4 linked regions of the Notamacropus eugenii genome follow. The protein of the gene in region 3 interacts with the protein of the main gene of each other region in a pairwise test. Links are inferred from orthologs where the notes say so. Each region holds a gene or a part of one and is shown on either strand. Other genes may lie near its edges.

Region 1 (7,480 bases), on a different chromosome or scaffold from region 3:
CCGAAAAGAGAGAGACAGATGGAAGTAATGGAAAGGAAGGTCCTGGGGGCGGAGCAGGAGACACCTCCCTACAAGTTGGAATTTGAGCTCCGGGGTCATTTTGATCAATCCACTCATTTTACAAATGGGGAAACCAAGGCCCACAGACAGAAGTGATTTGCCCAATATCGTATATTGGGTGAATAGCCAGAATTTGAATCCCTAGTCCTCTGATTGCAAATTCAGTGCCATTTCTCCACACTGATGCCCTCAGAACGTCACCAAGGAGCTTGTCCACAGACAGTCAGTTGGAAAGGGACCTCAGCACATTGATTGGGATGTATCAGGGTCAAATAGAAGAACACACATAAGCTTGGGTTTTGAGGAGAACTTGATCTGGGCTGTTGGGAGAGGTCTGAGCCCAAAATAAAGGGAACTCTGGGGTTAGGAGTGCACCTTACACAATCTGTTGTTTTTTGAGGGGGTGTTTTCTGTGCTATTTGTCCTAGAACAACATGCTATAGTCTGGCAGACTTCATGCATCTTTGTGGTCTTGGGTTCTTGAGCATATGTCGGTTGGAACCCTCACTCTTTCTGATCCTCCCTAACCTGAAAGGTCCCACAGGCTGAGGGTTGGGCTTTCATGTATGTGTCTCTTAGCTGACACACCACATCAGCCTGGCTAGTTTCAAGAGGATTAAAACCGGGTTGGCTGGGGCACCTCCTGAAGATCTGGCCTGTTACTGGCAGTACATTCTGGGGGTGCTTAAAAAGCACAAATCATGAAGTTGTCTCCCAAGGCCCATCTTAGAGGAATCCAAATTGCAAGCACCTGTAAGGGCACCTGCCTATGACAGTATTATAAAAATGAAAAATGAAAAAGAGCTGAAATAAATTCAGGAATGCAATTATTCAATTCACATATATTTGGTGCTTACTCTATGACATTCACTGTATGCACACAAGAAATAGCACAGAACTCCGTCGTCAGAGTATTTCCCTTTTTGAGTCACTGCAGTATTTGATAGACTATTTTTTTCCCTTAAATTCTAAATAAGTTGGAGTTTACAGATGTATTATTGTATTCTCTAGAATCATTTCCTCTCAAGTGGAATGGACTCCAAGAGATCTCTGGACTCAGCAGAACTCTGGGTTCGAATCCTGACCCTTACTCTATGATCAGGGAAAAGTCACAACCTCTGGGTTTCAGTTTCCTTATCTGTAAACTGAGGAAGATGATGAATTATCACTTGTTAGCCATGTCAGGGATATTGTGAGGCTTGGAGGAGACAGAAAGCATCTCAGTCACCTCACCATCCTTATAATGGACATTGGGTTTTCTGTTGCTAAAAATATAGTTCATAATAATTTTCCAAATAGGTAGCTTACCTTAGGCAAATCACTTCCTCTATCTAAGCCTTGGTTTCCTCATATGTAAAATGAGGGGTTTAAACCTTAGACGGCCTCCAAGATCCAACTGTGGAGGTCAGTCTAGGGTCCTATGAAAGCTCCTGTATTTGAAAACTTCATGTATTCGATTCAGCAAGTATTGAGTGTTTACTGCGTGCAGTCCAGACAACGAGCATTTATTATTCCTTTGTAACTTCCATGTTTTATTTTATTTTTATTTAAAAGCACGATTCTGAGAAGAAGGGATCTGCAAACATCAGACCACCAAAAGGGTCCAGGACAAACAAAAGTTAAGATGGTGCTTACTGTGTGCTAGGCACTTAGGTTTCTAATTGATAAATTTCATTTAGAATAAATTCATTTAGAATAAATTCACTGTTAGAGCTCCCTCCCCAAAACTTCCCTCCCCCAAAAAAAGGACAACTCACAAAGACAATGAAAGCAACCTAGAAGTTTCTGTCTGCGTCTCTGCAATCTCATACTGGTGGTTTGCCCTTTGTCAAGGGAAAACAAAACAATGCGAGTGTTCACTCTAAATGATCAATTGGTACCATTGACCTCCGTCATCAGTGACTGAAGCTTTGCTGACCTTGATGGAACTGTAGGAAGGCATGTGTGACCCTTCTAGCTCTGTCTGCCCATGATCTCCTATTTAAGTCTCATATCTGTCCAGATTCTAGCCATTTCTTATTTCTTACAGGTATGGATGCAGATTCCAAACCTTTTCTGTTTCTTGAGAAATATTAAGATTTCTCTGGTCCACACACTCTTTCCAGACTTGTCTCTAGGATGTACTGGACTTTCTTTATCCTTGATAAGTCTCAGTTTCCCCATCTATAAAATAATACTGCCAACCCCCCCCCCCTTCTCCTACACACACACACACACACAGTAGTTGTGAGGCTCAAATGTAAAGGTGTATGTAAACATGCTTTTTTAAAAAAATTAAAAATTTTCTGGTTACATGTAAAAAATTTTTAACATTCATTTTTAAAAGTTTGAGTTCCAAATTCTCTCCCTTCCTCCCTCCCCACCCCCTCATTGACAAGGCAAGCATCTTGGTATAAGTTATACATATGTAGTCATGTAAAACAGTAAAGGTGCGTCTTTAAGTTAATGTATATTCATCCTGGAAGCTTGCTCCACCATCAGAAATGACCCTCTGATCCTTTGGCCTTTCTCTGACTGGATGCTTCCCCCAAAGCCTCTATGGATCTCATAAACAGAACCAAGAGAACAGTTATTTTTGCTTCAATGTTTTCATAACCAGCCTCCGATACTTACTAGCTGTGTGACTGAGCAAATCACATAACTTCAGTTTCCTCATTTATAAAATGGGGATAATAAACATCACCTATCTTATAGGGTTATTGTGAAGATCGAATGAGATAACATTTGTAAAACACTTAACACAGCTCTAGATAACTAAATGCATATCCCCTTCCCTACGAAGGATTGTGCAATTTGGAGGAGATGAGGTCCTTTCGATAGGATTGTGACACAAAAGTAAAAGGCATTACAATATTTTTTAAAGTGCAGTGTTGATTAATTTTGTCTATATCCTTGTAATTTCTAGTTGTAACAATGAGAGGAAGGATATAAACAACTAGGGACTTGTTAATTTCCTAATGTTTCCACAGCGGAGGGAGCACCTCACGCAGCCCTGCAGCCCACTTACTCACCTCCCCTGTAGCAATGAGTTTTCCCATCTTTGGCAATTCCACTTAACGTTGGGCAGTGCATGGAGCTACCCCTTCCAGGACTTTTCACTGTAGATACCAAGAGCTCCTATTTACATCTATCATCTCACTGGAATTTCAGGCACAGAGGATTGACAGGGTCAGACCTGGGCTTTAAGGCAGCTGTGGGGAGGACAGACGGGAGAGGGGAGGGGACAATGTCCAGAGTGGGATCCACGGGAGACTGGCCAACTGTGGGGCTGGGATGAGGGGACAGAGCTCAGGAAGAATCCAGGCATTTTTGAGCCTGGGTGACTGAAAGGGACGAGTTAGAAGAGGTCCAAGGCTGTGTATGTAGCACCGGCTTAACTTTAGTTCGTCCTGGACCCTTTTGGTGGTCTGGTGATGTCTGCGGATCCCTGCTTCGCAGCATCGTGTTTTTAAATACGTATAAAATAAAACACATAGGTTACAAAGGAAGCCAATTATATTGAAATAGTTACCCAAACGGACCTTAGTAGAGTTGAGAACTCCCGATCTAACCGGCCCTTCGCTGTGGGGCGCTGCCCTCAGTGCCCGACAGGCTGCATCTGCTGAGTCAGGCGCTTTCTTGTAGGGGAAGCCTTGGACCTGGAGTCAGGGAGATCTGAGTTCGAATTTTGCCTCATCACCTACCAGCTATGTGAGCCTGAGCGACTTTCACCTGCCTTCTACCTGGGTATACTCAGCTGTCACGGGGATCCTGGTGGCGCCTCCCTCCCGGGTCCTTGGGGGGAGGTTCTGCCTGTACGTGGCTGCTTTTATTAGTCTGAACTCCCTGAGGGGTGGGGGCACGGCCATTCTTTGTGCCACCAGCCCTGGCACAGTGCTGGGGAGAGGGCAAGGCTGCCGACTTTCCTAGCACCGCTGAGGCACGTGCTATTTTTATGCCCAATGTGCGGAAGAGGGCACAGAGGCTGGGAGGGTGTGACCAGCCCTGGGGGCCGAGGCTGGCTTCGGGGCAGCACTTGGACATCCGGCCCTCCAGGCAGGGTGACCGGGCACGTCTCCGATCTCACCCCGACAAAGGCCTCGGCTCCAAGCGTTCCCCAGCTCGGTGCGCCACGAGGATGGAGCGCCCGGACCGTGACAGACAAGCTGCCGTCGTGGGGCATTCTGGGAGACGGGAGAGGGAGGAGGGAGAGCGGTAGGCGGAGGCGCCGCAATGCGCGCTGGGTAGCGTACCCCCTTCCCCCCGCGCCGAATTCTCAGCCCGTGAGTCACAGAGAGAGGCCCGAGTGACGCGCGCCGCAGCCAATCGCGGCTCGCAGCGGCGGCGGGGGCCGAGCAGCGGCGGCCAATGGAGTCCTCGGAGGCGGGCGGGCGCAGGGAGGCGCCGCCGGGCGGGGGCCAGAAGCTCGAAGAAGATTCAAGATGGCGGCGGCGGCGGCAGCTGCGGGAGCCCCGGCTGTGGCGGCGGCCGCGGCAGGCTCGGGGGCCGGCGGGGCTGCGTCGGCGGCCGGCTCGGGCTCGGGTTCGGGCGGCGGGGCCGGCGGAGCGGCGGCGGCGGGCTCGGGCGGCTCGGGGCCGGGCGTGCTGATCGGGGACCGGCTGTACTCGGGTGTGCTCATCACGCTGGAGAACTGCCTGCTGCCCGACGACAAGCTGCGGTTCACGCCGTCCATGTCGAGCGGCCTGGACCCCGACACCGAGACCGGCCTGCGCGTCGTGGGCTGCGAGCTCATCCAGGCGGCCGGCATCTTGCTGCGCCTGCCGCAGGTCCGTACGGGGCCCGGCCGGCCGGGGCTGGGGGGAGGGGAGGCCGAGGGAGCCGGAGGGGAAGGGGGGAAGGCCGGGAGCCTGAGGTAACGGCCGCCGCGCCCGGCCGCTAGTGCGCAGGCGCGAGCACGGCCCGGGGGGGAGGGGCGTGGGGGAGGGGAGGGAGGCGGCCCGGCCTGGTCCTTTGTTCCCGGAGCCGCCTGGGACAAAGCCGGGCGTGGGGGCCGAGGGAGGCCGCTCCTCCCCCGAGCGCCGTGGGGGGGCTGGGGGGGGGGGTTCTTCGGGAAAGCCCAAATGGGGCGGTGGCTTCTTTACGCCGGGGAGAGGGCGTACAGCGGACCCGAACCTCAGTTTCCCATTTGTGAAATGTATATTTGGCCCCAGATTGTGGACTTGAGTGGCCTAACTCTTTGGGAAACTCAGTTTTCTACTGTGTAAAACGAATGGTTCGGCCTCTGGAGGCTTCCTAATATGAACCTGTATCATCTTCAAAAAAGAAAAAGAAAAAAAAAAAAATTCTCTGCCTCAGTTTCCCCTTGTGTAAAAATAACAACTCGGTTTCCATATCGTCGTAAGAGGTCCCTTCCAGCTCAGAAATTCATGTTCCTGTGATTCTGTTATCATGTAACATTTCAGAGCTTGTTCTCTCTCGATGACCTGAAGGCTCTAGAATTCTGAACCTAGAACACCAGAAACAGCTCCCTTCCCCCCACAATAGAGGGGACCCCTTAATGACGGCACTGAGAAACTTGACCCCAGACTCTAAGAAAAAGAGTTGAAAAAGGAGGGAGGATTTTTTCAGGAGGGCTCCCTTCAAGCCCACTCCAAATAAAAAAGACAGCTAATGGGGGGAACTGGGTGAAGGGGGGGCCAAGTGGGCAGGTTGTAGTTACTTCTTAGGAGAGAGACTGCTTTTTAATAAATGCGATACAAATGTGATAGCTTCTTAGGGGAGGCCCTGGAGGTAGACTAAAGAGTTTTGTATTCTACTGGCTGAATTTATCTTTTAACACCTGGAGAAAAATCTTTCATTTTGGAAGCAATCACAACAAACAAACCATCTTATTGTGGTTAGGTTGAGATTCTGGGAAGTATTGGTAGAGGGAGGGCTCTTTAACCAGGAGAAAGAGGGGTGTTGCCTGTGTAGATGACTTCCTGGCCTGCCCTGCCTGAGATAGGAAAGCAAAACTAAAAACAGTCCCTACTCTTGAATAATAATGGGTTTTCCCCTGTATTGTGCAAGGGGACAGAAGGGTTGCTCAAGTGTCTTCCTCCTTTGCCACCTCCCCCCTCCCAACGTGTTGATCTCCTTTCCTCACCCCAGCTCCTGTGTTGCTGGATTTAGTTGGCAGGACCTCTTACCCTTTGGCCCTTGAAAATATGATTTAGTGTGTGGGAAAGCACCTGAGGCATCTCCAGCCAAGTCTTATTTAATGCTTAAGAAGGACATCCATGGTGGAGTGGAGGATTGTTTCTTTGTTTACATGTTTTGAGGTGGACTCTTTTTCTTGGTTTTAAGGCAACTGTTGTTTTCTGATGTGGGGAAGTATGGGTGGATCATTAACCATGGGCTGGAAAAGCTTTGTTTTGTTTTCTAACATCTTGAATACAGTGAGACCCAATATCTTTTTTTTCTCTCAAATTGAGATGATTCTGGCACATCCTGAACAGTACTTTTAAAAACATAATACTGAATTCTTTTCACTTTCTAGGTGGCCATGGCTACAGGGCAGGTGTTATTTCAGCGGTTCTTTTATACCAAATCCTTTGTGAAGCATTCCATGGAAGTAAGTAGAACTTTTTCCCTTTTCTTCATTTCCGTTTCAAGCTAAATGCCTAAGATTTTAATATGTAAAGCTTAATTAACAACATATTTACTCTTTCTCCTAATTACGAAAACAAGGTATCCTCAGTAGATTAAGTATTTTTGCTTCATTATGTTTGATAAGCCATGTAGGTTGTAAAGCGCTGCTTATCTTACAGGTTGTTCTGTTACTTGTATTTACCTGCCATTTTCTCTTACTAGCCCTCCTTAAGCTGATGGAGGCGATCACAGTTCCAGATTTGAGCAAAACATCAGTATGTTGCAATACTTATATTTCAGCATGTGTCAATGGCCTGTGTTCATCTGGCCTCCAAAATAGAAGAAGCTCCAAGACGGATAAGGGACGTAATTAATGTGTTTCATCGACTTCGGCATTTGAGGGAGAAAAAGTAAGTATTGGTATTTTTTTGAGTATACAAAAGAATCCTAGTTTTATTAGGATCATAAGGGACTTTGAGTTGTCATCTGGGTACTTCTGTCCCAATCTGTTTATTTTTTACTCATGCAGAAATGTAGGCCCCCCAGAGATTAAGGGGTTTGCACAAGGTCACACTGGTCATATGTGATAGTGTGGGGATTTGAACCCAGATAAGATACTTTGACTCTGCTGAGCAACAATTAATGAGTCTGGGTTGTTATTGTTTCAACTAATCTATATCTGTTGATTTTCTTTTCCTTTATCATCTCCTTTGGCTTTCAGTGAACTCTACCTTTTGACTAGTTGAAAAGTAGCCTAATGTTCTTAGCTAAGTACTTTGTAATCTCTAGGTGGATGAAAGCCCTTTTCAGAATGTAATAATTTCATTTATTGATTTAGATTATTGGTCTT
Region 2 (6,834 bases), on a different chromosome or scaffold from region 3:
ATTCTGGAGAGCAATTTGGAACTATGCCCAAAGGGCTACAAAAATGTGCATACCCTTTGACCCAGCAATATCGCTACTAGGACTATATCCCCAAGAGATCATAAAAATGGGAAAGGGTCCCACATGTACAAAAATATTTATAGCAGCACTCTATGTAGTTGCCAAAAACTGGAAGTCAAGGGGATGTCCATCAATTGGGGAATGGCTGAATAAATTATGGTATATGAATGTAATGGAGTACTATTGTGCCATAAGAAATGATGAACAAGAAGACTTCAGAGAGGCCTGGAAGGACTTATATGACCTGATGCTGAGTGAAAGGAGCAGAACCAGGAGAACTTTATGCACAGCAACGACCACAGTGTGTGAGAGTTTTTTCTGGTAGACTTAGATTTTTGTAATAACACAAGAACTTCTTACAAAAAAAAAAAAAATCCCAATGGTGGTTCTCAAGGCAAAATGCCTTCCACACTCAGAGAGAGAAATATGGAAGTCATTCACATAATGTAACAGATCATGTTTGTGTATGTGTATGTGTTTGTGTATCATGTTCTGATTTGTTATACGATTTCTTTCATTTATCTTAGTCTGACTACATAGCATGACTGTAGTGAAAATATACTCAATAGGAAAGTATATGTAGAATCTATACAGAATTGTATGCAGTCGTGGGGAGGGAGTGGGGGGTAGGTGGGGGGGATAAAATCACAATTGTATGGCAGTGATTGTTAAACATAAAAAAATTAAAAAAAAAAAAAGAAACTCCTTTTAAAATTTGCAATATAAGTAGATCTCTAACTACCAGCCCCATCATTTACCCTCACCTATTGCAATGTGGAAGGCTATATATAGGATTTGCCTTTCTCTTATATTCACTTTTTTTAATTTTTTAAAAAATTGAGTGACTGATCTTCAGCAAGTCAGAACCTTCAAAAAGAAGGTTCTTGGGGAAAAGAGAGTTGAATTAAGTGAAAACAGAAAGCTTAAGGAGCTTCTAAATAAATACATTAGCTTTACATTATGAATCAATACTGGTACAAAGTTCCATAAAATTAGGTATTTATATTTAATAGTTCCTTCAATCAGAACACCCTTGCCCAAAGTAGCTCAGTAATGAGCGTCTAAATTTCCAGAATTGCCAATCATTTTTGGATATGTATATATTAAGTTGGGGTGAGAGTTCTCTTAAAGTAAGTCATAAATTTGTGGGTTATGTGGTTATGGTTGCAGCCTATAGCATATACCCCCTAGTTCTCTGGTATTTCAAAGATATTTTTGCCTCAAACTAGCTGCGTCCTTCAGCAAATCTCCTGATCTTTGTGGATCTTACAGACCTCATCTATTGAATAAAGGATTTAGTCTTCAAGCCTTTTGAGAATTACCAAGAAAGGATTCTTTTGCAGGTATGGCTTGAGTTCCCATTAGGCGTTCTGTGAGAAGTGATACCTTTTGTATCTGCCTCCAGAATCAAATAGCACGGCTTAGAACCTTTGCTGTGAAATTTACTACCTATGACCTTGGGCATTTAACTGGGCTCCTCTGCCCTAAATTGTCACATCTGTAAAATGCGGGAGTTAGACTAGATCCTTTCTATGGTTCCATCCAAATCTAAATTCTATAAATGTGCAGCAGATTGTGGAATGATTTGCAATGGCTTTTATTTTTAAAGGGAAACACGTCTTTTCACACCATTTTCTCTAACCTCTTATCACCATGATGACTCTAGGAGGGGGACTATACAGAAATAGAATAGAAAGAAAGTAACATTTAATGATTACTTTGTAACAGTGCAATCTGTGATTTCCCTGGTTGGTATGGCTACTTCCTCCATCAATCAGTCCACAAACATTTATTAAGCATGTGCTATGATCCAGGCACAGGACAAGGCGATACCTAAAGGTCTTACTAAATGGTGCTCCAGAACTGCTGTGGCCAACAAATTCCTCACAATACAGCTAACTTAATGCTGATTCCCCGCCCTGTGCTTCTTATAACGGACCTCAAAAAACAAGCAATACATAACTGTGCCGGTACTCAAAGCCTTTCCGTGGGACAGGATTTTGACCCAGCCTTCAAGGTCAGCTTCCTAAGGGGAGGAGGCGATAGAAGAATTTAGTGGTAGATTTAATAGGGGAGTAAAATTATGTAACTTGTTTTCCCAAGAAATGGTAAGCGGTAGTTCACGAAACAAATTCAAGAAGTGTTCATCAATGCATACCAGAACTGCACCAAGCTAGGGATGCTTGAAACAGCCTGGTGAAAGGAGACTGAACTTGGGGATCAGAAGAACTGGGTGTGAATCCTGACTCGGGCGCTGCCCGGCTCTCAGACTGCACGATGTGTTCGGTCACACGGGAGCCCTCCGTAATGGACTGCAGGAGCACAAAGGAGGGAGGGTGAGCCCCGCTGAGGAAGCCTCGGGCTTTTCTCTCCTACTCCCTGCCCGCCAGCAGGGCTCTCACCTTGGGGAAAGGACCGCTTTCTGCGATCTCTGGCCTCAACAGCTAACAATACATCGTTTACGCCCAGTCCCATCCAGGGAAGGCTTTTTCGCAGAGTTCCATGAATCTTGCTCCTTCTGCCAGAATAGGTCACAGTGACTTTTCCTTCCCTGACCACCGCCCCAAAGCCCACGCCCGACCACAGCATCAGGGGAACACAACTGCTGGGCTGCCGATGGAAGCTCTTCTCGGATTGGTCGAGGACACACCTCCGTCACACCCCAGCTCCATCCAGGACTGGCTAGTCCCAAGCTTCCAGTCAGCCTCTAGCGCTGAAGGGTTGACTGTCTCCGGGAGATGGTGTCGTCACGTGGTACTCGACAGCCCTCCGGTTGGTAGCAAGCGGCACCACGTGACGCCGAGACTTGCGCTGATTGGCTGGTGCGGATTCAGGTTTCGACGAGATGCCGTTCAAACCGGCTGTTGCTAAGAGGCATGCTCAGTTTAGCTAGGAGTACCTGGATAATCCGATTCTCCGGGCTTTAGCGACTCCCGACCCTAGGGGCGGGGGAAAAACAGGGGGTGAAGCCCTTGATAAGCATCGCGGGCGATTAAGAGGACGGGATGTGGCGGGAGCAAAGTGGCCAAGCCTGGGGGCGGGCGTGACCTTTGGCTTTCCCCTCTGCAGCAGCTGGCGGAGGCGCCTCTTCCCCAGCTGTGGGACGCGAGTGATGGGCACGCGCCGCCGCAGTATCCCATGTTTAAAAACAAGCATACAGACACGGCTGGAGAGCTCCCGAGGGGGAGGGAAGTGGGGTTCCCGCTGCCCGGGAGGCGCTTCCCCCCCATCCCGCTCGTTTTCTAGGACAAACACTAAAACCTGGCCGAGCAGACGCCACACGTTTCCACCGGTCCCGGCTTACGTTGCGGGTGCGGGACTGCGGAGCGGGGCCGAGGAGGGTTGGCTGGTGCTCGGGTCGGAAGCTCCGGCGCTCCACAGGCTGCCCGGAGCGGGCGCCCCGGGGTTGCCTAGGTGACGGAGGAAGGAGGGCGGAGCTAGCGCCCGTCCGGGCGCCGGCCCCGCCCCGCCCCGCCCCGCCCCGCCCCCGGCAGCACTGCAGCTCGGGAGCTCGCGCGCCGCCCGCCGCCGGGCCGCCGGGGAGGAAGCGGCAGAGGAAGGAGGGCGGGGAGCGGCGACGGCGGCGGCACCGGCCCTGCGGCCCGGACACGGCTCCTGCTTCCGCCCCTCGCTTCGCCCCCGGCGGCGTCCGCGGGGCCGCCCGTCCGCCGAGCGCGGTCCATGCCCAGGGCCGCCGCTAGCGCCGCTGCTGCTGCCGCTGCCGCCGCCCAGGGGGCTGCCGCGGCCGCGAGGCGGTGGTGGGGGCGGCGGCAGCGGCGGCGGCAGCAGCAGCCGCCCGAGGAGCGTTCGGGGGCCCCGGCTCGGCGGGCGTAAGTCTATGTCGGCGGCCGAGGCGGCGGCGGCGGCGGGGGACGATGCGCGAGTACAAAGTGGTGGTGCTGGGCTCGGGCGGGGTGGGCAAGTCCGCCCTCACCGTGCAGTTTGTGACCGGCACCTTCATCGAGAAATACGACCCCACCATCGAGGACTTCTACCGCAAGGAGATTGAGGTGGACTCGTCCCCGTCCGTGCTGGAGATCCTGGACACGGCGGGCACCGAGCAGTTCGCCTCCATGCGGGACCTGTACATCAAGAACGGCCAGGGCTTCATCCTGGTCTACAGCCTGGTCAACCAGCAGAGCTTCCAGGACATCAAGCCCATGCGGGACCAGATCATCCGAGTCAAGCGGTAAGGTGCGGGGAGCCGGGCGGTGAAGGGGGAGGGGGGTCCTGCGGTCCGAGTGCGGGTCGGAAATGGGGAGGGGAGGGGCGGCCCCCCGCTGAGAGAGGAGCCCGGGGAGGGGTGGCCCCCGCTGAGAGAGGAGCCCGGGGAGGGGTGGCCCCCGCTGAGAGAGGAGCCCGGGGAGGGGTGGCCGCGGGCGCTCGCCGAGAACCGAGTGTGTGTGTCTGTGTGCGTGTCTGTGTGCGGTGTGTCTGTCTGTGTCTGTGTCTGTCTGCGTGCGGTGCGCGCGCGCCCGCTTGTCGTGGGCTGGGGGAGGCTTTCAAGTTTGCCTGGCGCTTTGTTTCGCCCACTACGATTGTCGCCAGCCCTGTGAGCGATGGAGCTGGCACGGAGTCCGAAAGGGAGACCCAAGTTGAAAGACTTTCCGAAGGGAAGAGGGGAGGGTGCGGGGGAAGAAGAGTTGCGTTTTGTTTTTTGTTTTCAGGCTCGGGATTTGGGTAAAGAATAGGCAACTCCTTTGGCCGTGTTTCACGGCAGGATACCGCAGGCTTGTTAGGGGAAAGGGCAGAGCCTTGAAGCTGCTTTCCCTCTGGCCATTTCGCTTTTATAGTGTTCCGGATGAATAGCGAATTCTGGACCGGGTGAGGGTACGGTGGCTTTGTGCAGGCCCCGCGGGTGTACCAGTATACAGCCTGAATTAGCGTGTGGGCACGTAAAAAAGGTGAGAGAACCCGAAGAGATGGAGGGGACTGCTTCTATTAAACTTACAAACAAGATTTTTCTTTCCCGAATCCTTAGCAAAAAAGCAAATTCATTTTTCTAAGACTTGCAAGGGAAGTTTCAGTACCAGTTTGTTTTCCTGAAATGGGGATTATCTCCTTTCATTTTGCTTTGATCTTTGTAGAGTAGGTGCTTAATAAATGGCTAGTTGGCTGACTTTTATCCCCGATACTCTTCTCGGTGCCTAGCATATAGTAGGTGCTTAATAAATGCTTGGTGAATTGATTTGAATTCCTTTTTATTTCTTCTTTATTGTGGGCCATTTCAGGCAGTTTGAAAAACCTCTGCTGTAAGATATTCTAACATACTTAATGATCTCAATGGCAAACTTGCTCATTAAACAAAAGTTTGTGTCGTTACAATATCTGCCACTTTATTTTTGGCATCTGCAGTCAATTCATTTCTTCTGATTCTTATCAGTCATTAAGATTCTTGAATCTTAAGATTTGCTGATAAATGTGTTGATGTACAATCTGTAACTTGGTTATAACTTGGTAGCTTGGTCACTAATTTTCCTTTTTATTTACCGTGCCAACTAGTTCAACCTAATATCCCCCCAGCCCCCTATAGCCCGTATGGATATACTCAGAGACACCATCTATTTTAAAGAAAGTAATAAATCTGTCTATTTTATCCTCTGTTGAGTTCTGTAACTACTTTGAATGGGCCAAAGCCAAGTGTCCTCTATTCAGTGAGTGCTCAGAGATGTCAAATGAAAATGAGATTATCTTTAATGCAATTTGTGAGAGTACTAAAGTAAAAGTAGTTTTTTTTTTCAGGAACATACTTAGTATACTCAGTGGCTGGATTAAAATTTTTAAATTTCTTAAAGAATAACAAACTAAAAACCAAATTGTCTTTTCAGTTTCATTCATAACTGCAAGATTTGATTCTGATTGTTTTTTCCCCCTTTCTTCCTCTTCCTTATTCTTTATCTTTCAGATGATCACTTCGCTTCTTGTGGAGGCTATATCATTAATTTCTGTGGTATACTTTAGTGTTAGTTTGTATAATCTGTAAGGATTCACATTGTTAAAACACAGGACAATGGCTTAAACTAGTTTCGAGAACAAGGTTTTCTGATGAAATTGCCTGTATTTATGTAGTGACTTGATATTCCCAAGTCATTCATTCAATGAACTTTTCTTATTATCCCCCAATCTAGTAGCTAACTGCCTAGTATACAGGAGCATTGGTTGAACCTGACCACAGATAATTTACCTTGTAGACCTTGCAGAGGGGAAATGACATATACACAAATAACTCATGAAAAGTAATAAATAATAATGCAAGAGGGGTACACACATTGGCTTGTGAAAGCAGAGCCTGGGTAAGGTCTTTATTAAGGGGTAGAATCAGGACGGGATTTAAGGGGGAAATGGCCTGTAAGAATTCAGTAAGGTAGGCCAAGGCTGTAGGGGAAGGAAATTCTAGCCTTGGGAAAAACTGAGCAAAGTCATGGAAGTGGGAAAGTGCAAAAACGGGTATATTTGAGTGGAGAACAGGAAATTCAAAGTTGGCAGAAACAAAATATATGAAGAAGAGTAAGTTGTATAAAATGAATCTGGGAAGGTAGAATGATAATAGACCATGGAAGAAGAACCAAGGAGTTTCACTTTACTGTTTAGGTAACAGAAGCCATTAAAGGTCTTTGAGCGAAAAAAGGCCTCTGATCAGCAGGCCTAGATGTCACAAAGTCAACACATTAGGCCTTCAACTTAATCAAAAAAAGCCCTTAGACCTTCACTCACAGCTTATTTACTTCTATTTTTAAGTTGTAATGTTAGTAAGTTTTCATTATCTGGTATATA
Region 3 (7,420 bases):
CTCACTTTAAACTGAACTATAACTCTTAATTTCAATCTCTCTCTGTGTCTCTGTCTCTCTGTCTCTATCTCTCTGTCTCTGTCTCTGTCTCTCTCTTTCTCTCTCTCCCACTCCAAGCTCAGATCCCAGGCACATTCTCCAGCCTCAGGTTTTGTCATTGTTGGGTGGGGTTTTTGGTTGTTTTTGTTGTTTTTATATCCTGAGGATAAGTGGGCACCCCTGAGCTGGTCATCTCTAGACTTTGTGGCAGCCTTGTGAGTTCAAGTCATCAGCAAATCTTGGACCCCTCAGTGGTTACTGACTAGCCAAAAGAGGAATTTCTTGCATTGGAGAGGATGATCCTTGACAAGAAGGGAATCCTGAGCCCTGACATGATTGTCCAAAATCTTTTGGAGTTGCCAGATCCATCCATTGTGGTAGGTCCTGACTTCATACACACAGGTGGAACAGCTAAATGCAATGACACCCTGGCCCACTTGGACCCAGCACAAGAGGGCAGAGTCTTAGCTGCACCCATAGTACTTCTGCCAAGCACAGGACAGCAGTCTTTTTTAAAAATTAATTTTTATTTTTTCTTCAATTACATGTAAAAGCAATTTTAAACATTTTTTTTAAATTTTGAGTTCCAAATTCTGTCCCTCTTTCTTCTCCCCTCCCTGAGACAATAAGCAATCTGATATAAGTTATATATGTGCAAATAAGTAAAACATATTTCTATATTAGTCATTTTATGGAAGAAAACTTGAACCAAAAAAAAAAAAAGAAAGAAAGAAAAAGGGAAAGAAAGATAGTATGCTGTGGTCTGTATTCACATTCCATCAGTTCTTTCTCTGGAGATGGATAGGATTTTTCATTATGAGTTCTTTGGAATTGCCTGTGTTGCCAATATAATGGATCATTATATTGCTGAGAAAAGCTAAATTATTCATGGTTGATCATTGTACAATATTGCTGTTACTGTGTATAGCTTTCTCCTTCTTCTGCTCACTTCACTCTGGATCAGTTCATATAAATCTTCCCAGATTTTTCTGAAACCATCCTGCTCATCATTTCTTATAAAACAATAGTATGCCATCACAATTATATACCACAGCATTTTCGGCCATTCCCCCATTGACGAGCATTGCCTCAATTTCCAAATCTTTGCCCCCACAAAAAGAGCTACTAGAAATATTTTTGGACATGTAGGTCCTTTTGGAGAGCAGAGTCTAAGCAGTGCCCACAACACTCCTGCAAAGCACAAGGGGGCAGCCACACTGCTGCAACCATCTGTATAAGAGGACAGAATCAGGTTCCAATAGTGACCACACATGGTGCTCAGGTCTTCAGAAACACTCTAACAATGGCAGTTGTTCTATCCTGACACATAGGGTAACAATTGACCTTGACAGAGGCAGGGATGCAGGCCTTAGTGGTAATAGCAGGGGAGATGGGGGTTGGAGGTAGGGAGACAGTGAGTAGGGATATGGACCTCAATGGCAGGAGACAGTTGAGGAAATAGCTTCCAGTGGCAGACCAGGGGCAGAAGAGGGAACACCAGCTTGTGCAGTGACAAAAAGCAGGCCCATTGTAATCCATTGATTCGTATAATGTACAATTGATGGGCCTCTCCACAAGACTTCCAATACAACAAGCAGGGATCATTGAACAATTCCTCCCCAGGGAGGACCAAAAGGTGGCATTGTTGGGAAGATGTTTGCTTTGTGGCAACAAGGAGTGATGGAAACATCTAACCAGTCCCCACAGATGAAGGGAGGGCATTCTCTCAGAAGCCTCTCGTTGAACAAAGAGATGTGCGCTCTCCCTCCCTTTACTTCCCCCCTCCTTGATTCCATGGGGTTTCCTGGAAGGGGAAGGCCCTGGCTGGTGAGCCAGTGAAACTAAGCAGGTGGCAGTCTGGGGCAATTCTCTCTGCTCCTTCATAGTGACCAGGCAGGAAGTGTCATCATCTATGCTGTAGCCTTAATGTCCCTGGTGCTGTTTCTAGTAATGGTCACTTTTTTTACGTTGAGACCCACTGTGAACTGCAGAAATTTGGCATCACCTACCTTATGGACCTAAATATTTAGACTTAAGATTTGACCCTTTCTGAAACTTTGGTCTCTTTGTTTTGGGTTTTGCCATATATATGTCTTAGTTTTTCTTTTTCTCTTTTTCCTTTCCTGACTATATTTTATACTTTTGAATATCAGGCATTTGGGTTGACCAATAATAGTCCTAAAGTCATTCAATTGGTAGAAGTTCCACAAGAAGACCCTAAGGACTCTACTATCAAGCAATAGATGAACCCATTTTTTCCCTTAAAATATATTGAGATCATCCTTGAGATTTGTGATTGGTTCAACCCAGACTGTTGATACCATGGCCTGAGGGAGCCAGGACATGGTACAAAATAGGCAGAGGTAGCTCCCAGAATCCTCTTGGATGCCTGGCTGGTGGATCATAAAGGGCAACTTAAGCAAGGGAATTTCTCTCAGCTGAATAACCTGAGGTGGCCTCAGTACCTATCCTTGTCACATAGCCTTCTACTTTGACCAAAGTGAATGTCCTTTTGTTAATTGTTCAACTACAAATGCCTTGTTTTATTTCAATTCTGAATCTACCTTATCAGTGGATTGATCTGAGTTCAACCTACTCTGCTCTTGCTTTTCTCTCTCACAACTTTCCCAACTTGGGATTCTAAGATTTTGGATGTGTAGAAAAGTGGGAAAGCAGACTGAAGGAATATTCATTCTTTCTGGTATCCACTATTGCCAAAGGGGATAAAGAAAGAGGAAACAGACTTACTTTGCAGCAAGAGAGAATTAGGTCATATACGTCAGGTACTATTAGAACTAGAATGGGAGATGAGTATATTTGCTCTTGAAGAATATGATGACAGACCCCAGCTGTAAGTCTAAAAGCAGAAGTACTTCCTAGGGTGAGTTAGGAGTTAAGAAAGGTAAGGAGATTGGGAGGCCAGGCAGGATCTTGGGTTTGAAACCTGGAGTCAGTAAAGAACAAAATCTAAGAACAAAAATTCTTTCTGGCCATAATCATAGAATCATAAAAAGGAGCAGGGTTGGGGGCAGTGCACAAATTGGAGTAGAACATTGAGGTGGAACAGAGAGACACTTCTCTTCTCCCTCAATCAAAGTTTCTTGGAGGACAGAAGTACCAGGCAATCAGTGAGCTAGGGGAAAAAATGGGGGAAGAGAATGAAGTTTCTGGGTGAGCGAGAAGGCAGGAAGGTGGTGGGTAGATGGGAACAAGGGTAATGTGAAAGCTGTTTAGAGAGAAGGTTGTGGTGTCATGGAAGGAGTGTGGGGAGGCGGAGAGTTGGGGAGGAAGTCAGGTTTGTGCTTTAATTTCCTCACATCCCTGGGTGAGGGAGACTATGATCAGCTGGCTGGGGCCCATGTGACAGGAAGGGCCCAAGTGGCTCTGTGCCCAGTTTATGGCCTTACTCAGAGCTGGCAGATGGCACGGGGAGGCACACTCTGGCAGTGGAAGGGTTAATGCCAGTCCCCATCTGGACAGTTGGCCCTGCCTTCCATTGGGGATGCTGGGGGTGTGGGTGGGTGGGGGAGTCAGAGAAGCTGGTATCTAGGCTGGCACCCTCTGCAGATATCCCAACACGTAACTAGCTCAAGAATGACCATGACCTCCCCCACCCCCGTGTTTCTCTGGCTTCCTCCTGCAAACTGCAGGGACTTGGATCTAGTGCTATCCTTCATCCAGAGACCAACAAACAGATCCGGCTTCTGCGTTTCCTTGGGACAGACAGGTAGGGAGAGATCAGATAGAAAGATGTAATATACGAAAGGGTATCAGGTCTCCTGGTCAAGGTTCAGAGGCCGAGAGATGCTCAAGGTCAGGTGGTAGAGATTAGAGGAGCTAGAGATACCAACTCAGAGACTGGAGATCACAGATCGTCCCCGGGTTAGGATGTGGGTTGTGGCCATTAGGCTCCTCCCCTCTTCTGCCCTCTCCCCATCCCCCTCTTCGCCCCCCCCCCCCCCCACTCCCCCTTTCCCGGGCCGGGTGAATTGGCTACGTAGCTTTCCAGTCTTTTCAAGGGCCCTCTCCATGCTCGGCCCTGGGCCTCCCTTCTTCCCTAACACCCAAACCCTGCACCCCTCCTCGGATTGGACCCTAGCCTGTCGGAGGGCGGGTCCTGGGGGCCCTTACGTCATCGAGGGAGGAAAGAGGTGGAGCGGGGACCGGGAGGGTTGGGGGTGGGGAGGGGGAGAACAGGGCGCAGGCAGGCTCAGCACCACGGAGAGCTCCCTCCCCGGACCTTGTTTTGCTGCGGAGCTTCAGTCACTTGGGGAGAGAGGGGGTGGGGTGCCGGGGGCTCTCAGTGTGGAATCAGGGGGATGGCTAGGGAGGGGAAGGGGGATTGGGGCCGGCTGAGAGCCCAGCCCTGAGCCGGTAGGGCTGCCAGGGAACGGGGTAAAGGTAGGGGCGGAGGGCCTGGGAAGCAGGGAGGCGGGGGACAGCGGAGGCAACACACAACTGGATGGAATCCAGCTGCGTGCAGTCCACCATGGCTCTGGGACTGTCCTCTAAGAAAGCGTCTTCTCGAAACGTGGCCGTGGAGCGGAGGAATCTGATCACCGTTTGCAGGTGAGGAAAGGCGAGGGGAGGGTGGTTGCTAGGGCCTAAGGGGAGAAAATTAGACCATGCAGGGACAAGATAAATGGAAAGAGCTGGGGTGGAGAGAACTGGCGGTGGGGGGTGGGGGAGAGCAAGGCTGTTCTATTCTGGGATTTATTCTGAGTACAGGCTGGGCTCCTAGGATCGGGGCAGTTGTGGACATAAAGCATTCGACCGAAAGCAAAATACTTGAAGTAAATACCAAGCTTGCTTACTGGTCAGCCAAAGTGAGGAAGGAAATGGAAGAGGCCTGTCCCTCACCCTTTTAGATGTTTTCCAGGGTCGGTGCCCAGCTTGGGGACAAAGGGAGATTCCTCATTTGGCGTTAAAGCTTCCTGTAAAGACAAGAAAGTGCCATTATAGCTGGAGAGAACTGGAGGGGGAGGGATGGGAAGAGTTGGCACCCTGGGGAGGGTGGGTATAAGGAACAGTTACATACTAAGAGTGTCAGCCTGATGGATGGTGCCTATCACACCCTCAGCACAATCCTTCCCCTCCTACATGACTTCCTTTCACTTCAAGAACAGAGAAAGAGGGAGACACTTTTCCTTGCTGGCCTAGACATCTCAAGCAGACTCATCTGTGGTGGGAGCATGGACTTGCAAACTCTCCTCACTAACATCCCAGGATATGAACAGTGCCCCATCATCCTTGTTCACATATTCTACAGTCTGGGCTGATTGCTTTGAATGATAGGGGAAACTGGGCACCTAAATCTTTTCAAGTCCTGAAGGATGTCAAAGGGCACCAGTAAGAACTGTCTGCCTGTGAGACCCAAGCCTAGGGTGGAAGGAAGGTTAGAGTATGCCCATTCTCAGATCATGAGGGTCTCTCTCAATCCATTTCATGCTAGGAGGAGGAAAGAACATGTTGGTAATTTTGAAAAAAGTATTTCTTCCCAAGATACTGTGGTTTTGAATGTCGGAGGCCTAAGTGTGGAGGTGGGAGGTGGGTGAGGGGGAGAGAGAATGGAGAGGGGAATGAGGCTGATTAAATTGGAGGAGACCTAGAGACCTAAGAGTCATAGGGGAAGTGCTGCTACTGGTCTGAAGGGATGTTACCTCCTCTCAGAGCTTCCCTTCTTGCCCTAGTGTCCAGGGAATGCCCCCTGCACAGGCCTAGCATTTTGGTGACTCAAATACTTCTGACTCCATGCCCAAAATAAACCCTGCCACCAGCACCAATTTCACACTTTGGGAAACAGAAAAGGCTTAGAAGTGAGCCACCTTCTCCATCCTCACATCCTACCCCAGTTTCCCTCCTTAGATCTCTTCTTATCTGTTTTCCCATCACACTTATGCCTGCAAGAAGCCTCAAGATACCATTCTGGAGAAGAAAGCATATCTGAGGAGAGATGTGGCTCCCCTAAGGCAAATCTACTGCCATGTCCAGGAGTCAAGGCTATCCCCTGCCACACACACTATTGACATCTTTCTAAATACAGGCCTTGGTTAGAATTGGAATCTATGGTGACCAGCTAACTGGGCTTCAGTCTCTGTTGACATTGTCCTGGGGCCTTGACATTTATGCAAATTCACTCATGAGCCCCAAAGTACAGGCCCCTGTCCCCCCAGTCCAAATACTTTCTGCCTCTCTAAATGTGCTTGTCCCTATACCCCATGGTCTTCTCATCCACCTCCTAGGTTCCCTTCTCATTCCCTTTCCTCTTACCTGTCATGTGACTATCCACTTTTAGCTTCATCTTTTCCCCTTCTCTACATCTCAAAATCTGTCTTCATGATCCCCCATTCTCTCTTACTTAGCTCTAGTCTCTAATGAAGAGGTAGACGTTCTCCTTGCTAAGACCAAAACCTGTTTTGGATTCCGTTATCTTCCAGAAAAAACTTACGATCTCAATCATCCCCTCTCTCTCATCTTCCATTTCTCTATCCACTAGCTGCCTCTTTGCCACCTGCAGACATATCCACATCTCCTCTTTTGCATCCCTCCAAATGACTGTCTTTTCATTTCAAAGCCAAACTCCTAGAAAGGCTTGTCTGCATTCAAGCTTTTATGTCCTCACCTCTTCCTTGCTTCCTTCCAGTCTGTCTTCTGCTCCCACCACTCTCCCAAAGGTTGTCCTTGATCTAACACTCCTGTGAGACCTTGGACAGGTTACTTAACCTCTCTGGGTCTCTGTAAAATCAAGGTGGGGGGAGAGCTCACATTAGGTGACCACTAAGCTCCCTTTTGGTTCTACATCTATGATCCTATAATCTCAACTACTAAATCCCATACTTGGCCTCTCTGGAGTCTTTGACACTGTCCACCACCCCCTTCTCTTGACTACTCTCCTCTCCCTGGGCTTCCATGATGCTCTTCTCTCTTGGTTCTCCTCCTACTTGTCTGACTATTTTTTTTCTTTGCTGGATCATTCTATAGCTCCCACTAAATGTGGGCATCCCCCAAGGCTATATTTGAGTTCTCTTCTCTCAGTAAAACCTCTCAGTGATTTCATTGGCTCCCATGGGTTCAATTACCATTTCTACAGATGACTCAGAAATCTAGGTATCCAGAGCTAATCTCCCTCTTGAACACCAGTTCCTTATTGCTACCTGGACTTCTTCAGCTGATTGTCTCATAGGTGTCTCAAACTCAACATATAGAAAACAGCTCAATTTCTATTCCCCCCTCCCCAAACCCATCCTCCTTCAAACTTCCCAGTTTCTGCTGAGGGCATCACCACTCTTTCCACTTACCCATTTTTGAGTTATCCTTTATTCTTGCCTTTTCATCACGGCCCCCACCCACTATATCCAATCAGTTGCCAAGGCTTGTAAGT
Region 4 (7,318 bases), on a different chromosome or scaffold from region 3:
GTTTTGCCAGGTGCTGTAAACTTCCCCTTCCCCAACAATATGACACATCTTATAGTTTAGAGAAAGGAACCCCAAAATATGGTTCTCCACCTTCAAAATCTGTGAAGTGGTGGTTTCTGAAGCTTTATTTTTATTTTCTTACATCCTTGAAGTTTGGCTAAGCACCTTTTTGAATACAGCTATAGCTGATCATAGAGGCAGCATGGTGAAGGAGATATGAGTTTGAATCCTGCCTCAGATACTTATTAGGTAATGGTAGACAAATGAAATAATCACTTGGTACCTCAATACCCCCTCCCATTAAATGGAGGTGTGAGCATCTTTCTTACAGGGTTATTGTGAGAATCATATGTGAAAGCACTAGACAAGCCCTAAAGTGTTACGTGGTTATCAGCTATTATGAATTTATGAAAGAATCTATACCAATCATTTTTACCAACTGGAACACCTTGAACCTAAATGCTGGGTCCTAACCCTGGGTGCTCCCAAGAACTTGAGTAGGATGTAGATTTCCTGGAGGATTATATCAGGTAGGCAATCAATCCCAACTTAGTAAGAACCAGGAACAGTGCTCACTGCTGGACTGTCTCCAGAGGAGTCTGCTGGGAGAGAAAGTGAACTGGATTTGGAAACAACTTTGCTTTTTGCCAGTGGTAATACCTGGACATGGCACTGCTTGCCCTGACACATGTCTTTTTTCCTCATTTGTAATATGGGGGGGGAGGGGTGTACATAAGAGGATCTCTAAAGTTTATTTTGTTTTGAGTTTTAAGCCTATGATCCTAAGAGCTCCTTCTTTATCTGACTGGGGTTGTTGTCTGCCTGGTACCTCTTGGCACCTCTTGGTACCTCCCTGCTCCCTCATAGTATAAGCCCATAGGCTACTTCCAAGTCACGCTGCTTCATGGGATGCAAGGGACAGGGACAGTCCTAAGACGGTGCCTACTAGGTGGCATTAGAGAGCTCTTTATGAAAATTCTTCGAGATTTAAAAAGGACATAATTGTAAAATAACAAAGTCATAAAATACACATATGTATATTTAGATATATCATACACATATGCAAAAAGTATGCAATGTGGGAAAGCTTCCTGTTTTTTTTCTTCAATATTTCCTGGCTATAGAGGAAGGATTAATACCTGTTACCTCAGTTATAGCCAGAGAAGCCTTTAACTCTAGAGTCAAATGACCTTGGACTTCAACCACGGTTCATTAACTGTGTGACCTCGGGTAAGTCATTTATCTCCTTGTACCTCATTTCCTCATCTCTAAAATGAAGCTTTTGGACTAGATGAACTCCAAGGCCTTTTCCAGCTCTAAATTCAGCATCCGGTGACCTGTTTCAAAGAATATGACAAGTCAGCGTCTGGTTTAACCAAATGCAAAGCAGGGCCTTCCACAGGGTGTGGTGGGGGCCACACCCTCCTCACCTTTAGGCGAGTCCCGGAGAAGGCTGCAGCCTGCAGCCGTCCCAGACTCGGAGCTATCTGAATAGTTTCCTCCAAGAATTTCAGTTGCATTACAACAGCAACAAAGTTGCCTCTTGCTCTTGAAAAAGTTTGGGATTTGGGGCTTCGGCCGTCCTCGATCACTAGGCATCTTCCGTCTAATCCTGGGTGGAAGGGGGAAACACAATTCGGTCTGAGTCTCGTACTAAACCCAAAGCCTCCTGAAGGAGCGACCCCAGCGGACCCCTCTTTATGGGCCAGCCGAGCTCTTTCTCACGGCTCCCAAGCACCCCTGACCCATCCACTCCTCCCTCGCCCACCTCCTCGTCTGATCCTAAAATCTGAAGACAGGTCTTGACATCTCTCCTCCTCGAGAAATAAGGGAGGGTCGGGACAAGCCGAGGCAGCTCCCCGTTACCTCCCAAAGAGCATGAGGGAGCCAACAATCCCACCCCTAACCAGAGAGACTTGGAGGCAGGTCTGGGCACTTCTCCCTCTCCTCCCTAGGACTGGCTTCTTGGCCGAGCCTTTCCCTACTCCCCGCCCCCCTTTCCTTCGGGGGCAGGACTAGGTGTGGTGTTAGCTTCTCCCTTCCCAGGCCAGAGCGAGGATTCTCCGCTGGCACCCTCCCCCGAGCCCGCTGCAGCCGGGAGAAGGGATTGGCAAGCTGTGCCCACCCTAGCTCAGCCTAAAGAGATACGGACCCTGGGGTCTCTAGGCTCAGCACCTCTAGGTCTACTGCAGCCTGTTCGACTTTGTTCTCCCCAAACAGCTGCTTTGGGGGGGGTGGGCAGGGAGAAGCAGGGGGAGGGGAAGGGAAGGGACGGGAGACACCGCTGAGAAACAGCTGGGCCTCCGCCTCTTCACTTAGTCTCTATTGATAACCAATCACAAATGGGGGATACTTTTCAGCCAATGAGGCCCTGGAGCCTGACACAACCTCGGCGACAGCCAATGCCAGGCTACCTGGGGGCTGCGGGGAGAGGAGGATTGCACCCGTCGACCAATGGGCCCCGAGTTTGGGAGAGGAGGTAATTTGAGAGCCAGGGTGGGTGTGTCCAGTGAAACCTTCCTACTTCTAACTCCCGCCCCCCCACCAGCTGCCGCTCGTACTGAGCATGCTCAACTCTCTCCTATCTCCTGCCCGCCTCATAGAACAGTTCTGACGGGCTTAGCCAGATTGGCCGGGTTTTCCACACAGCCTAGAAAAGTCTGGAGGGAGGGACCCAGGATCCTGCAGGATCCTCGCACCCCAAGTTCTGCAGTTGGTCCCGGCTGGAAAGAGAAGGTCGGGGGCCCCGTGGGCGACCTCCAAGGACCAAGGAACCAGCATCAACCGCAGAGATCCCGCCTTGGCTGGCTGCGGTCCGGGTCCCTGGCTCGAACGCCTCCCCCTCCCCCCCCGCCAACCCCAGTGGTCCGGCAAGGGTCAGTGGCGTGGGCCGGCAGAGGTTGACGGGTTTGGGACCCAGAAGTAGATGTACTCTCTGTATGCGGCCAGACCACATCATGCTACTCTCCGCACGTCTCCCCATTTCCATCACTAAGCATTCTGCCTCCCCATTGCAAAATCAGAACACTCGGGGTTCCAAGCTACCTGGAACCTTAGGGTTGCAAGCACAGTTTGTTTAGCTTCCTTAGGGGAATGGGGGGTGGCGGTGAAGGAGGAGCAGAGCACTCTGGGGCTCGAAGTCTGGGGAGCACCTCCTGCGATCCAACAAACTGGCACCACTAAACTGGCAAAGAGCCTCTATCCCCGGTCGGGAATGATAAGTAAAGATAACGGCCCTACCTAAACTCTCAAGGATTTCTGGCCCAACCTCACTGTACAGTGGAAGATACAGAGGTCAAGAGAGGCAAACTGACTTGAGAGCTGTAGTAAGCATCTAAGAGAGAATTAAACACCGGTCCTCCATTCTTCGTCCTTGTGCCACGCAGTCCAGGTTCCTACCCCATTTTAGGGAGATGGAAGCCGAAGTACAGAAAGAAGAAAGAACTTAGGGTAGCAACTGGCCAAGCCGGGGTCAGAGCCCATGTCCTCCAAATTCCAGTTCAGCCTTCTTTCCAATGCTGAGCGCTTGGCCAGTTTTTAAGCTCTCCAAACTAGCCACGATTAAGGGTTAGTATAGCAATCAACAAAGATTTTTTAAACGACTCCTATGTGCCAGTTGGGGGCTGCAAGGTCAGAAAAATAAAACAAGTAACCGCTCTCAGGGAGCTAATATCCTAGGGAGAAGACAAGGTGTACTTTCAAAAAAGTCGCTACAGAAGAACACAGGTGATATTTGAGAAGGGAACACTGGTAGAAGCTGGGGCATCAAGATACATACAATATATGTGGAGTGCCCCCGCGTCAACACTCTGCTTGGGGAGCACAAAGCCAGAGAATGGCACCCGCGCCTCTGCCTGCTCCCAAAGGGGATCTCCTGGATTCAGCAACGAATGGTTTTCCCCGGAAGGCATCCCAGAATACACAAATGGGGAGGAGGGCACCCAGGAGCCCCGTTTCCCCCCAATAAAACCGCCTTCCAGTGCGTCCCCCCGTCACTTGTCAGTCATCCCTCCATCTGCCTGCCCGGTGTTGTGGGTATCTGGATGCAGGACCCCCTTCATGCCCTCTTGCTAGGAGGGCATACAAATAATAGATCTTATCCTGGAATTGTTTTTCCCAAGGCTGGTGCGCTCATCTCTGGCACCCAGTCCACCTCAACTCCAGCTCAGGGGACCCAGTCCCAACACGAGCCCACAGCTTTCTTGGCTCCGCCCCTGCCCCGGCCCTCTAGGAAAACCCGGAAAAGCGGAATCCTCCCCCCGGCAGCCTCGCCACGACTCAGCGCCCCCTCACTGGGCATGCTCACTAAGGCAGGGCAGGTTTGGGGCTGTAAGTAGGAAGCTGGAGCACTCCCAGGGCTGCTGGGGAGGGAGGTACGGACCGTGGGGCTGTTGGAGGAAGGAGGCAGGCACCACGGGGACTCATGCACCACGCGCTCGGGGCTGGGGCGCAATTAGCAGCCGCCTCCGCAGCCTGCACCCGTCCTTGCCTCTGCTGCCACCGCCGCCAGTGCCAGAGCCTCTGCCACCCCTCCTCCCAACGCTGCTGCCGCGGGTGAGGAGCAGCCCCAGCTACCGCCGCCGCCGCCACAACCGCAGCAGTAGCAGCAGCAGCCCCAGCCCCGGCCCCGGCCGTAGTCCGTGCCCGGCCGATCGCCCGCTCCTTCGCCAGCCCGGGCATTGTCCCTGCGCCTGCCGCCGCCGCCGGCCGCTTGCTACCAGTGCCCCAGCCGCCGCCGCCTGAATGCAGGGCACGGAGCCCGAGTGAAGCCTCGCCGGGGTGGGCGACCACCCCCCACCCGCAGCTCTTTGCTTTCTCTCTCCCTATTCTCTCCTCCCCCGCTGGGTACTAGGAGAGAGCACCCGGCAGGAGCCGAGCTAAGCTTTGCGCAGGTCCCACTCCTTCCCCCTCTGCCCCCACGCCCCCCGGGGGGCCCAGGCCGGAGGGAGGCCGAGAGCGGGAGAGACTCTCGGGGAGGGGGGGGGGGGTAAGAAGCCATGCGAGAGTACAAAGTAGTGGTGCTGGGCTCGGGCGGAGTGGGCAAGTCGGCCCTCACCGTGCAGTTCGTGACGGGCTCCTTCATCGAGAAGTACGACCCCACCATCGAGGACTTCTACCGCAAGGAGATCGAAGTGGACTCGTCGCCGTCGGTGCTGGAGATCCTGGACACGGCGGGCACGGAGCAGTTCGCGTCCATGCGGGATCTGTATATCAAAAACGGCCAGGGCTTTATCCTCGTCTACAGCCTGGTCAACCAGCAGAGTTTCCAGGATATCAAGCCTATGCGCGACCAGATCATCCGCGTCAAGAGGTACGAACGGGTGCCCATGATCCTGGTGGGCAACAAGGTGGACCTGGAGGGCGAGCGCGAGGTCTCGTTTGGGGAGGGCAAGGCCCTGGCCGAGGAATGGAGCTGCCCCTTCCTCGAGACGTCGGCCAAAAATAAAGCCTCGGTGGACGAGTTGTTCGCGGAGATTGTCCGCCAGATGAACTATGCGGCTCAGCCCAACGGGGACGACCAGTGCTGCTCCTCCTGCGTGATTCTCTGAAAACAAGGGGTGGGTGGGGGAGCTTCTTCCTTCGGGCTTGTGCTTTGGTTTGAATTTTTATTGGTTTCTTTTTTTTTTTTTTAAAGAAAAAAGCGAAAGCAAAATACAATACTTCTTTCTCAATGTGATTTTTTTAATTATTATTTTAAGATTGGAAACAACTTTGCAGCGTACAAGGTGTGTTCCAGGTGGGGGCTCATGGCTATTTCAACTGCAGCTGACGAGCCCCAGTGCTCAGTGTCATGGGGGTGGGGGGAGTTGTCTTGTATTTAACATCTGAACCTGGGTGGAAATGTGGCGCTTTCAAAGCATGTACATTCCTCTCGTGGATTTCTTTGATAGTTGCCTGTTTTCCCACTTAAAGCAGCCGTTAGAGAGCTGTATTGGCAACTTGACACCAGGCAAAAAAAAAAAAAGTTTTAATCTGGAGGGAAGGGATGGGAGCTGGAGGAGGATGGGAGAGAAAAAGGCTTGTCAACAACCACTTTCCAAATGGAAGATTTAAGTACCTAGACCGGGGAAGGAAGTGCAGGAAAAGCCTGTGAAGAAATGAAAGGAGAGGAAGAAACCCCGTTTCCAGGCATGTGTGTATGTGTGTGTGCTGGAAGTGAGGGTTAACTGCCTTCCCTGGCAGCCTGGAAGTGCAACCCTGGGACTGATTACAATTCTGAGGATTTCTATGCAAAGTTGGATTATTGTTACAGTGTATCCAATCTGAAATATTGCACAACTGAACTTGGACTGTTTACACTGGTGCCAATGCAGTGTGGAGTGCCAGAAAGTGTCTGCTGATATTTGTGGAAAAAAAAAAAATCTATTTTGTTTACCTACTGTATCAAATGGGAGTCTGGGGGAGAGCGGGAGTGTTTTTTTTTTTTTTATCAGCTGTGAAAAATTACAAATCTGCACATTTTTTTGGTGGGGTGCTTTGTTAATTTTGTTTTGTTTGGGTTTAGGGTTTCCTTTTGGTTGGCAATAACTGATTTTGATGACCAGATCTTTAAAGTACAGTACAAAGACTTCCTCAAATGTGATTCAGGGGCAACAGCGACCCTGTGTCTAGAGTGCCTTCAAAACTCAGCTGTTCCAGCCGTGCCAACCTGTGAAAGTTCCACAAAATCCCATTATCTGCTATGACTCCCCAAAGTACTTAACAGTTTCCTCTCAGTAATCATACCCAACAAGCCGAGACAAAATGGCCTGTTGTTCATGGAATTTCTTTTGATTTCTTTTGGAGCCTTTTACATGTAATTTCCATGTTTTGCAAGTACTCCTGGCTTCACGTAATTTAAATTTTCAGGTATTTAGTGCCCTTTTCCTTCCCTCCCTGGTTTTTTTTTTTTTACCTGTCTTAGGATATTCCTCCAGCCAAGAGCAAAGTTTTAATGTTGTGATGTACCAAGCAGATTCTAACTAATTGTAATTTTAATTCCAGACATGCGTTTAATGGTTGTCTCTTCATCTAAAGACTTTTAATACAAATACCATTTTTAAAAAAATGCAAACCCCAGAGGCCTGTTTGTGTTTTTGTTTGGTCTGGTTTCATCCATTGTATGAAGTCATACACTGTCAAGCCTGATATGGAAAGAGTCATGACTTAAGTCATAACTGAATCTGAAAGTGTTTTTATCCGGGTCTGAATGGATAGATGCAAGTACTTTGGTGGAGAAGTGGGTGGGGTTCATAGGATCATAAATTGGTTGGAATGTTGCCTTCAATTCTTAAGACTGGGAGCAAAACCAGGATGAGAAAGTTCTGAGTTGTGGGTT

What was found.
Region 1: the proteins of RUNDC3A (region 3) and CCNL2 interact in binary tests that used the Homo sapiens proteins (3 or more experiments, as listed by UniProt). The two-hybrid records come from large-scale screens. The link is inferred for Notamacropus eugenii from reciprocal best matches to the Homo sapiens genes RUNDC3A and CCNL2.
Region 2: the proteins of RUNDC3A (region 3) and RAP2A interact in binary tests that used the Homo sapiens proteins (3 or more experiments, as listed by UniProt). The link is inferred for Notamacropus eugenii from reciprocal best matches to the Homo sapiens genes RUNDC3A and RAP2A.
Region 4: the proteins of RUNDC3A (region 3) and RAP2B interact in binary tests that used the Homo sapiens proteins (3 or more experiments, as listed by UniProt). The two-hybrid records come from large-scale screens. The link is inferred for Notamacropus eugenii from reciprocal best matches to the Homo sapiens genes RUNDC3A and RAP2B.

What each region holds. Positions count from the first base shown.
Region 1 is NC_092876.1:34,943,158-34,950,637, reverse strand, and holds the start of CCNL2 (cyclin-L2), read left to right. Parts: upstream 1-4,466; 5' UTR 4,467-4,481; coding exon 4,482-4,826; intron 4,827-6,538; coding exon 6,539-6,613; intron 6,614-6,852; exon of another isoform or gene 6,853-6,930; coding exon 6,931-7,040; intron 7,041-7,480. UniProt on the Homo sapiens protein: Involved in pre-mRNA splicing. May induce cell death, possibly by acting on the transcription and RNA processing of apoptosis-related factors.
Region 2 is NC_092877.1:229,395,481-229,402,314, reverse strand, and holds the start of RAP2A (ras-related protein Rap-2a), read left to right. Parts: upstream 1-3,815; 5' UTR 3,816-3,935; coding exon 3,936-4,249; intron 4,250-6,834. UniProt on the Homo sapiens protein: Small GTP-binding protein which cycles between a GDP-bound inactive and a GTP-bound active form. In its active form interacts with and regulates several effectors including MAP4K4, MINK1 and TNIK.
Region 3 is NC_092873.1:349,696,363-349,703,782, reverse strand, and holds the start of RUNDC3A (RUN domain-containing protein 3A), read left to right. Parts: upstream 1-4,418; 5' UTR 4,419-4,501; coding exon 4,502-4,608; intron 4,609-7,420. UniProt on the Homo sapiens protein: May act as an effector of RAP2A in neuronal cells.
Region 4 is NC_092877.1:375,391,060-375,398,377, reverse strand, and holds RAP2B (ras-related protein Rap-2b), read left to right. Parts: upstream 1-4,296; 5' UTR 4,297-4,997; coding exon 4,998-5,549; 3' UTR 5,550-7,054; downstream 7,055-7,318. UniProt on the Homo sapiens protein: Small GTP-binding protein which cycles between a GDP-bound inactive and a GTP-bound active form. Involved in EGFR and CHRM3 signaling pathways through stimulation of PLCE1.